2 linked regions of the Canis lupus familiaris genome follow. The protein of the gene in region 1 interacts with the protein of each later gene in a pairwise test. Links are inferred from orthologs where the notes say so. Each region holds a gene or a part of one and is shown on either strand. Other genes may lie near its edges.

Region 1 (6,177 bases):
TAGGAGCACAAGGTTCTGGCACGTACTGTGCAAGGCGCAGGGTTGCCCTTCTGCAGGAACACACCTGGGCCACATAGGGCCATTCAGGGAATACAGGGCCCCACACAGGGCCAGATGCTAGCAGCCTAGGTATCTGGTGGTGGTAAGGAAATACTCTTTACTTCTGTGTCCTCAGAGCAAGAGGAACCAAAGTCTGCAGCTGGGAGTGAAGGTGGGTGGGAGCGAGGGAGAGGTCTGAGGAAGAGCGTAGTGGGGATGCAAGAGAAGCAGAGAGAAACATGGCAGGGAAGCATCTTCCTCCAGCCACCCTCTGCTGCTCAGGAGAGGCTCAGTGGCCCCAGGACGGACCTTTCGGAGCTGAGGTTCTACTGGCCAAGCACAGCCAATGGAAAGAGAAGTGAAGGAGTGGCTGTGGTGGTGGATGGCATGTAAGGAGGAAGGATGGGAAGGGGGTGTAAAAGAGAAAAAAGGTAGTAGATCCTGGATGACAGGTGGTCCTGGGTGGAGCTAAATAACTTCTGGTGAAGGAAGGCCTAAAATCAGACTGTCCTCAGACCACAGCTCAGGAACACCCGGTGCTGGAAGACAGGACAGCAGTGCCTTCAAAGCTCTGAAGCAAAGTTATTTTCTTCCTAGAAGTCTATAAAAAAATCAATCTATCAGTCAAAATGACAATTAACAGATATTTTCCGTAAAACCTTGGAAGATTTGCCTCCCACAGGTCTTTTCTAAGAAAGCTACTTAAGAATAGACTCTGGTAACATGAGAGAGAAAACCAAGGAAGAGAAAGCTGTGAGATCCAAAAAGCAAAGCTCTAGCCCAGAAAAAGCAGCGAAGCCCCAAGACGACAACTGTGCAGAAGGCCTAGAGAGCCAGGGCTGGATGGTCTCCATGACAGAGACACAGAAAGGAAGGGAGGTGTGGGGGATAGCAAAAGATGAAGCTTAATGGGGCCGTAAAGACAAAGCCTGCTTTTTTAGAAAAGAAGACAAACATGAATAAATCCTTGGAGAAATTAAAATTTGTTCAAAAGGCTAAAATAAATTATGAAATACCACCTAAGCCCTCAGTGAACAATATTTACGTAGTCATAACAGTACAAACAATGTACTGATTTTCAACTCTTAAAAATAATAGGCCAACATGCACAGGATACAGAACAGTCTAGAAACCTTACACCTCTACACTGTGAAAGTATGATGGATGCCAGAACATAGGAGGTAAAGGGGGAAGGACTTCTGAAGGGGAAGTCAGGAGTATTTATATCCCTTTTGCTTATGAAAATGAGGTCAAGAGATATCGTTTCCAGTTGACAAACCAAAAATAATGATGAAAACACATCATGTAAAGTTACAAAGACAATGAAAGAAGATCTACAAATTGTGACAGCACCAAATTAGGAATGGAAAGTATTAAATTAGATCTCACCACAAGCATTATCATCTATCTGTGTCTATGACCATATACATAGTCAATGCATAATGTCTGAACTTGGTCAATTTAGTGATACAATATTACCTATTAGAAGAAATAGTTAAAAGAGCAAAAAAGGCAGTTGTCTCAAAGGTGTAATGAGGTAGGATGGGAAATAGCAGCTTTTCATTTTTCTATTTTTAAGATCATGTGCAGGAATTCTTTTGACCAACATAGCATTTTGCAAAATTCCTTTGAAACAAGTGCCCCAAAAGTCCTCTCCTGAGAAGAGCAAGGCTGCCTCCCACCCAGACTAATTTCAGGAGCAGGTCCCTCGTGTTTCAGGTGTGGAGCTGTCAGATAGAGTGGAGGGGCGGGGGTGGGGGTTTGAAAAATTTAAACCTCTCTTTCCAAGAAATAAAGTGTGGCTCTGCCACACCCTCATTGCCAGAAGCGCTGAAGGCCACGTGGGAGTCCTGATCACCCCAGGACAAGCGCCTCCCCGAAAACCTCCCATCCGGGCAGTGCAGCGCCCCATGGAGCAGAAAGTGGGATTGACCCAGCCCCTCACCTTGCCACTCCGCCATAATCCAAACCTTCTTCTCCCCGGAACTTCACCATCAGCCGCTTCTTCAAATCCTTAGGCCGCATCTTCATGATCTGGCGGTAAGATTCCTGCTCGGCAAAATGACAGCGTCAGAGAGAGGAACAGGTGGCATTAAGTTACAGTTACAAAAAGGTGAAAGGTTGTCAGATGAAGCCTGAATTAGGATGCATATTCATTTAAATCCGAGTTCACTCTGGTTCCCTATCAGAGCGTTGATTTGGTGTCTAGTGTCCCATGTAGCTTATGCAGTGGCTCCTGTCACCAGATCTCCCCGGGTCTCCCTCAGAAACAAGGCAGCTGGTGCCAGGCAACACCACACCGAAAGGACACTCACAGACTCATTCTCAGCATAATCACTAAAGGCTTCAGAGCACACATCCTCCCTAGAGCCCATGTTCTCCACACAAATTAATTTTAATGTGGCCATACTAAGAACAGCTTCTTTATTTTAACCAACATGAAGATGTCACTAGAGAATCTGAATAGTAAAAACATTCTAAGCCTGTTTTTATATCTGAGGTGAAGAACCACATGATTTCCACAGAGTCAAAAAAGCAAAAGAAGGGTTTTAGTAAGACATACAGTAGCTTACCCAAAACACAGAGAACAGGTGGCCAGCCCAGCCTGCCCCCAGATTCAGCATTTTGAGTGGAACTAGCTGAATGTTTGTAGACATTTTCAATGATAAGGCACTTGAGAATCTTTTCATGCTTTAAATTTAATGTAATTCAAGCTCTGGCATCCCAAGAGGGAAAGAGGATGCTGAGTAGAATGATCTGGCAGCAACATGTCAATAATTCAGCTCTTTTCTCTCCCCAGCAACCAGTTAAGACTGCTCAACGGCCATTTTGGCCGATTCCTCCATTCGCCCAACACTGGAACACAGGCTAACCCTGGGCATTTCCTCAGTACCCATCACCATGAAGGCCGTACTGGGCTCCCCAAGCCACAGTCCTCACCCTTGTGCCCCTCCTCCTGCTGCTGCAGCCCAGTAGGATCTGCGTTCAGGCCCTATCCAGTCTCCTTTGATCACTTCTGCCAATGATGCCACAAAGGCAGGCCAGATATGGCCCAGATGAAGGTAGAATCGTGGAGATTCTACCTTCCGATCATCTTCCTGGAGTAAAGGGCCCCGTCTACAAGAGGGTCCCGCCTGGTTGGTGGCCTTGATCCCTCCGAGGAGCTGTATGAAGGACAGAACCCTTCCCAGGACCCAGCTGATCTTCCTTATTTCCTGAAAACACAATGTAGTGGCCATTTGGTCCCTAAGCTGCTCTGAGGAGGCCATGCCAATGGATGAAGCTCTGTGCAAGGGCAATAGAAGGAATGACTGGTTCTGAAGAAACCAGGCAGATTTTGGGAATGTGTATCTGCACAGAGCAGGTAAGAGGATTTCCAGGATTTTTTTTAATACTTTATTTATTCATGAGAGACACACAGAGAGAGAGGCAGAAACACAGGCAGAGGGAGAGCAGGCTCCACACAGGGAGCCCGACATGGGACTCGATCCCCAGACTCCGGGGATCACAATGCCCTGAGCTGAAGGCAGACACTCAACCAATGAGCCACCCAGGTGTCCCAACAGGATTATTTAGTACTAGTTTCGGTGTAAATCTTTTTATTTTCACTTTAGAGGCTCTTGAGCTTTTCAGCTTTTCAACTTCCACCACAAGAGGAAATACGGTCTGTTTCTCTGTGTGACCACTGGTCCTGAAAAAGCCCTGGAATTCACTGAGTAATAAAATCAAGGCCTGAAACACCCAATAGAAAGGAGAATGCACTGTTTGTAAACAGGGATGAAGAATCTGTGCCTCACTGCTGGTCACACCAAATTCCATACCTCAAATATTTCTTCTCTGGATACTTCGATACGGCAATGGCCGGCTTGGGGCTGCTGAAGTGAAAGCTCATGTCTGAGCACCTTCAGCTTCTGCACTAAATCTCGTTCATATCTCTGGGCAGGCAGCTCCTCATCTTCCACGGAGCCCTCGCTGGGCAAAGGCAGTGGCTGGCTGGGCTCCTTTAGTTGGCACTGGTGACTGGAAAGAACAGAAGCATCTAGGTCACTCCAAAGCAGCAGCCAAGGGAGCTGCAAGCAGCGCCCCCCACACTGAGTGACTGAACTGCGAGAAGAAATGTTCTCTCTGCTGATATAACCATACATGAAGATGTGTAAACACTGACAGTGGCCACCACTGGCCTACATAGAGAGGTCTAGATACGGCCTAAATAAAGAAGATACCCCAATTCCACGCAACTGCTCATCCCATACATTTTCAGTGCTATAAAGAAAAGCATAAATTGCAATCATTTATCACGCATCTGGTATGTATCTGTGAGACTGACCAACGTGTAGTTGGTGAGATGTGCCTTGGTGGCTAGGATTACATGGAGCTGACGTGAGAAATTTCATAAGCAGATTATCATAAAGGGGCAAACAATGCCAGTGCAATATAATGGAAACCATTCCTCATTTTCACGACCCAGGCATTTCTAAGCTCACTCAGAAAATTCTGGTAGAATCAAGGACTAGGGATAGTAGAGGGATGAAGTGGCATTTGTCTTGTTCAGGTTCTGCCACCAAGGTCAGCTGTCAATGAAAAGGGCTAATGTGGGCTCTTAGGTTCTAGAGAACACAACAAACCCAGAACACTGAACATGGGATCCCAGATAACTTTCAGTTCCAAGTTGTCCCAGAATGATGGGCATAGGACAAGGTTCCAGGGAGGAGCATTATGGACTGTAGCAGCCCTTCCAGGTGGTGACGAGCAGGCACTAAGGAAAAGCCTAATTTCACTGCCCCTCGCTCTAAGGGCCACCAACTCCCTCAGAGAACTGCATGACGGAAGCTTCAAGAATGGAGCTGTACTGTCTAATACTGCCCTCTCAGTGAATTTTATTTAGGCTGCAAGCAATAAAAGGTGGCCAACAATACAGCTTCAGAACTACTCATGGCTTTTTTTATTTTTTAAAAAATTTATTTACTTATTTGAGAGTGAGAGAGAGAAAGCATGAGCAGGGGGAGGGGAGAGGGAGAAGCAGAACCCCTGCTGAGCAGGGAGCCTGATTCCAGAACCCTGGGATCATGACACGAGCCAAAGGCAGAGCCACCTGAGCCAACTGAGCCAACCAGGCACCCACAGAACTGCTCACAGTTTACTGAGAGTTTGAAATGCATATCTGCCCACCAAATATTTATATTTTACTTATTCTCCACTAACAAACCATGCAGTAGGTACATTAAGAGAAATATTAGTAGAAAACATGAAATTATAAATGTAAAAGATCAACAAAGATTTTGTAAAAAGTCTTACTTCATGATGTGATGTAATCTTGGGTCTGTAAACTGGGTTGTCCGGTTATTATGATCTACAAAATATATTCTCCCCGAAACTGTACTTCTGACTTCCCAACCTGGTGGCAGTGGTCCAAGTTCATCACAATTCACACTGTTAAGGTCTCTACCAAAATGGAAGAAAACAGAGAGGTTTGTCCATCTGAGAGTGGAGGTATACGACCAAAACTTCAGTGAGAGGAACCTGGTCAATGCGGCTGTGTTCTGCTAAGAACAACAGTCATGGTGCTACTTACATGCCAAAGTCCTACTGAGTCCAGGCCTCCATGCTGCAAGTGGCAGCAACACCCGAGAGATAAAAATGAGGCTTTCAGAGCCTACAACCATGAGGGAACCTGGTCCCCATCTTCCCCCAGGTCCCACCTAGGGAAGAGCATTTCTTACACGAAAGAGGGCCAAGTAGCTGGAAATAGCTGATTGCTGTCAGAAAACTATTTGAATTTACAAGCTAAATTAAATGCTCAAGGTCACAAAGGTATCTTCACTGAAAAGCTCCCAGAAGCACAAGTTTAAAGTTCCAGGGGACTTATGAAATGCCTTCGAAATCTCCCATTTCTGAGCAGATGCAGCGGAAAGCGGCATTCTCATGCTTTACTGGGCTTTGTTACACAAATGTTTCTGATTCTGACCTCTCGGTTAGTGAGGTCAGTCCAGTCCAGTCACATGGGAGCAGATCATCACTGACCAAGTCACTTGTCTAATTAGCCCAACACCTGACATTTCCTACAGTGGGTACTAATGAGACACCTCATTCATTTGCAGGTAATATTTCTATTCTAATTATAGATACTGAATCTTAAAC
Region 2 (5,048 bases), on another chromosome or scaffold:
CCAGCATCACTGCGGGGTAAATATTTGCTCGTGGGTGGCGAGGACAGTACTCAGGGCTCCTCAGTGACGCTGGACAAAGCCTGTTGTACGTGTCCCAGCTTTTCTGGATGCAACCGAGGATCGGATCCCGTGATGCAGCCCGGAGGCGGGCCTGCGCCCTGGGGTCCCGGGGCCGGGCTGCCGGGATGCGCCGGCTCATGGACGCAGGCCCACTCGGCTCAGTCCCAACCCAAACACTGTTATTCTGTAAAGTGGTTTTTTTCCTTGACATTTCATTTATTAGAGAGGGGGAGGGGGAGGGGGAGGGGGAGGGAGGGGGCAGGGGGAGGGACGGAGGGAGGAGGGACAGGGAGAGGGGGAGGGAGGGGAGATGGGGAGGAAAGGGGAGAGAGGGAGAGGAAGAGGGAGTGAGGGAGGAGGAGGGAGAGAGGGGGAGACGGGTTGGAAGGGGGAGAGAGGGAGGGGGGAGGGAGGGGGAGGGGGGAGGGAGGGGAGCGCTGAGTGCGGAGCCCACCTCAGGCCTGGATCCCAGGACCCCAGGGGACACCTGGATGCCTCACCGACTGAGCCGCCCTGGTGCCCCAGGGTCACTTTCTTAAAAAGCTGGAGGGGACCCCACAGGTCGCGTGGTGAGGCCTCGAGGGAGAGGCGGGGGACGCTTGGGCCTGCCGGAGCCCGGTGTGCAGGGGCAGGCGCAGGCTGGGGCTCGCAGCAGGTCGTGGGGACCCACCTGAGTTGACGCCAACACCCATCGCTCTGTGCATTGCGGCTTCGTGGCACGTGCAGCAGGCAAAGGGTCCCCTGTAAGTTCTGGGCACCGGGCCCTGCCCAGACGGCCCACTCTGCAGTCCGGGATGGGTCGGGGATGGGTCTGGGATGGGATGGGGACGGGATGGGGACGGGATGGGGATGGGGACGGGACGGGATGGGAACAGGGATGGGGATGGGGATGGGACAGGACAAAGATGGGATGGGGATGGGGATGGGGACGGGATGGGGACGGGGACAGGACGGGGACAGGGATGGGGATGGGGACAGGACGGGGACGGGATGGGGATGGGGACAGGACGGGACAAAGACGAGACGGTATGGGGTCGGGACCCATCAGCTGCAGGTCTTGCGGGGCTTTGACAGAGGTGGTGAAGCTGGGGTCCAACCCTCCCGCCTGGGCCCTGAGAGCACACAAGAGGCAGCTCCGCTGGGGGCCGGGGGCAGCCCAGGGGACAGACTCTGTGACCCCGGCCCCGCTGCTGGTGTGCCCTATGACCCCACTCTGCACCCGCCGTGTCTGTGCGTTGGGGGCGTCCCTCGACCCCTCTCAACCGATGGAGTGCAAGGATCAGATGAGGTCGCCGAGCCCCTCCACCCCCCCGACGGTCCCTGGGGGGCCAGGCAGGCCAACCGCAGACGTGTTAGACAGCCTCGTGAGTCTGTGGCTCCGGGACAGGGCGGGGGGGGGGGTGGTGTGACCTTCCACGTCTGGCTGCGCAGGCGAGGAGCCCGGGAGCAGGCGCTGGGGGACGCGGAGCTAGTGCAGGGGCACAGCTGCTGGCACCGCGTCCACATGGGCCGGGTCCACAGAGCCCGGAGGCAGCCGCCCGGAGGCGAGCGCAGACAGCGGGGAGGCCCCAGGGTCCCTGACCTCCGCGTCAGGGAAGAAACAGGAAGGACGTGGACACGGCACCCACCCGAGGGGCACGGCCTCGTGCTCCGACGCCCTAGGTGGCTCTATCGCGGTGCGGCAGCGAGCACAGGCCACGGCCTCACCGACGTGTCGCCAGCGCGTGTCTGCTCCTGACCGTGGGGCACAGGCGAGCGCCGTCTCAGGAGGGCCGAGCCCCTCGGGTCCCCGGGACCATGCGTGCCCCCCACCCCACAGGCCCCAAGCGCAGCGGGGCCTCCGGCTGCACCCTGGCCGGGGCTGGGTGGGGGTCGCCCGCCACCGGGAGCGTCAGCCCCGCTCCTGGCGACTGTGGCAGTGAGATCAGCGTGGCCGAGCCACCTGCTCTCCGCAATGTACAGGAAAACCGTGTTTTTAAATAAAGAAAAGACCAGCAGTAGGTTTCGTGAAGTGTTTTTATTTCAGCTGCATCTGGACCTTGACGTTCTGTGTCCGGCATGGAGCAGGGCCACACTCTTCTGAGCGCCGGGCGGGGACGGCGCAGGAGGGGACGGCGCGGGTGCCTCCCATGTCCAAGTCCCCATCCTGGGTGCATCGGCCCCTCGTCTGCACGCTGACCCTCGAGCCCCAAGCGCCCAGAGCCGCCCCTCCCCTCCCCGCCCCCTGCCTGCCCCAGCCCCGCTCCGGCAGACAGCTGTCGAAGCTTAGCAGTGACCCAATAAATAAGAGACGCCAGCGGTGCAGGACAGTGAAGGGGCAGGTGGGCGGGGCCTCCCCTGGAAGGTGCTCTCCCCGCCAGCTCTCGGCCACGTCGACTCCCAACGCTGCAGGCAGTTCCTGTGGTGCTGGTGCCCGGGACGGGCGGCGACCAGAGGTGTCCGCAGGCCGGTGGGCACAGGCGCACGCTCAGCTGGGCGGCCCGGGGGAGGCGGGCGGGGACGGGCTCACACGGCCGACAGGAACGGGAAGAAGAAGAAGTCAAAGGCGAACTTGACGGCGCCGTGCACGGTGCTGCGCCAGTCGTGCTCTATCTTCACGTGGCGCCGGGCGGGGGACAGCTGTGCCATGCAGTTGAGGCAGCGGATGGCCTTGAGCTCGAAGACGGGCCACTTGCTGCCCAGGCGGCCCTCGAGGACGGTGCTGAACTCGATGAGGCTGCCGTGGCGCAGGCCGAGAAGCACGTCCTTGAACTCGCCGCTGGCCCGCAGCACGATGTCCTTGGTGACGTCGTCCTCCTCTGGGCCGCGGGAGCCGTTGGCGCCACTGTAGGGCATGCCCACCGTGATCTCGAACTTGTAGCGGTCGAACTTGCGGATGTGGCAGGGGTGCTTGGCCAGGAGCTTCAGGCGGCATAGCTCCTCCGCGGCCGTGGAGGCATTGCCGGGGCTGCAGGACGGGTAGGCCTCGCCGTACAGGCAGCGCATCCAGTCGCCCACGAAGAGCGGGAGCATGTTGATGGCCGCCTCGGCGCTGTTGTCGATCTCCGTCACCCGCACGTACTTGAAGCGGCCCGTCCATGTGACCCTGTGGCCTTCCAGGTGGCTGCACAGGATCTGGGTGCGGGCCATGTTGGTCTCCTTCCAGGCCCGGGGCCCGCACAGGAAGCCGTACTGCTGCCAGGTGAGCGTGGAGTTGTAGACCTTCATGCCCTCCGAGCGGTACACATACAGCCAGCAGAAGAGCACGATGGCCGTGATCCACACCAGGATGAGCTTGACGACGGAGCTCCGCGTCAGGGACTTGACCATGGCCACCGGCGAGAAGCTGGCCTTGCTCCACCAGCGGAACAGCAGGGGGACGCTGCACAGCAGCGCAGTGACGGCCACCTTGGTGAGCTCCAGCGACAGGAACCAGCGGGCAAGCTGCAGCACGCCCATGAGCGCCAGGCCGGCCACCAGGACGGGGAGCGCGAACAGGAAGAGGAAGTAGCCCACGGTGGCTCGGGCAAGCCCCAGGCCGGTGGACTCGAGCAGGATGACCACGGACAGCTCACACCACATAAAGCAGACCAGGTAGGGCACCAGGTAGCAGTAGGTGCCCTTGAAGCCCCGCAGCTGCGCCATGCGGAAGAAGAGGTACAGGAGGTACACGTACAGCAGGCAGGGGACGCTGACGTTCAGGACGACCAAGTGGCCCAGGGGCACGGTGACGAAGGTCTGGCCCAGGAGCTTCAGGTGCTGCCAGCCGCAGGGCAGGGTGGGCAGGAGGGACAGTAGGCCGGCGGCCACCTCGGTCACCAGGGCCCTCCGGGTGTAGGGCTCGGCAGACGAGCTCAGGCTCACGTAGCTGGTGGCGGTGAAGAAGATGGACACGACGGCCAGCTCAGAGCAGGGGATGCAGTCCTTGCTGGCGATGGGGAAGGAGAAGATGACGAAGAAGACAGACAGCAGGAAGTGCACGTAGGGCTCCAGGTGGTTCCAGCCGAAGTTGACCTCGGCCTGCTCCACGTCCAGGTTGGGCTCGAAGCGCAGGAGCAGGCCCGTGAGGGTGCGGAAGCTCTCCCACGCCCTGCTGTCCTGGAACACCTTGAGGGTGCAGATCACCATGGAGACGAACGACAGGTAGAAGACGACCAGCGGGATGAAGAAGGCGAAGAAGTCGATGGTCAGGTTGCTGATGATGAAGAAGAAGATGAGGGCGTTGATGTGCTGGGTGGGCACGATGCTGGACAGCCAGTGCATGCCCGCCCGCGAGGCCACATCGATCAGGTACTCCTTGATCTCCATGACAGCGTGCAACGGGTACTTGACCATCTGCAGGTGTGGACACGGACACCAGCTGTGATGCACGCCGACCCGAGCCCCGTCGCCCTCGGCGCTCTGCCAACCGCGGGAGCCCACTACCCCTGGGCCCCTGGTCCCCTGGTCCCAGCGGGTCCCCGCGTTCCGGTCCACTTGGCCCGTCCCCCAGCTGCACCGGAGCTGCAGGTTCTGCTGCCCATCCTTGGCCCCCCTCCCGTCCCAACCTGCCGGGTGTGCAGACTCCTGCAAGCCAGCGTCCCCTGGAGACCTCAGCACCCGCAGGCACGTCAGGGTGGGCCCCCCGCAACCAGGGTGCCCCGAGCCTCGGCCCCTGGCCCCCTGCCCCTGTGTCGGCTAAGGGCAGGGGAGCCCGCGGAGGGCTCTGCACCGTCCCCGGGCAGGCAGCGGGTGTGGGGAGCCAGGAGGAGGGCTCAGCCAGCGTGACCTGTGGGGGACGGGGTTCATCCCTGAGGGCAAGGGAGCCACGCAGGCTAGTGGGCTAGTGGGCTAGCGGGCTAGTGACCGGGACCCTGAGGACCCGCAGACTGGCCGCCACCTGCACGCAGCCGTGCTGCCCCACGCTCAGCCCCGACGGCCACTGCCACAACCTGCACCCGGTGCAAAGGGCAGGGGCGACCCTCAGACCTCTGCGCAGCACAGAACGAAGGGGGATGGGGGGCGGCGAG

The links.
Region 2: the proteins of SMURF1 (region 1) and WFS1 interact in binary tests that used the Homo sapiens proteins (3 or more experiments, as listed by UniProt). The link is inferred for Canis lupus familiaris from reciprocal best matches to the Homo sapiens genes SMURF1 and WFS1.

The regions. Positions count from the first base shown.
Region 1 is NC_049227.1:10,555,927-10,562,103, reverse strand, and holds part of SMURF1 (E3 ubiquitin-protein ligase SMURF1), read right to left. Parts: intron 5,482-6,177; coding exon 5,335-5,481; intron 4,060-5,334; coding exon 3,861-4,059; intron 2,089-3,860; coding exon 1,985-2,088; intron 1-1,984. UniProt on the Homo sapiens protein: E3 ubiquitin-protein ligase that acts as a negative regulator of BMP signaling pathway. Mediates ubiquitination and degradation of SMAD1 and SMAD5, 2 receptor-regulated SMADs specific for the BMP pathway.
Region 2 is NC_049234.1:39,215,733-39,220,780, forward strand, and holds the end of WFS1 (wolframin), read right to left. Parts: intron 4,375-5,048; coding exon 2,566-4,374; 3' UTR 2,059-2,565; downstream 1-2,058. UniProt on the Homo sapiens protein: Participates in the regulation of cellular Ca(2+) homeostasis, at least partly, by modulating the filling state of the endoplasmic reticulum Ca(2+) store.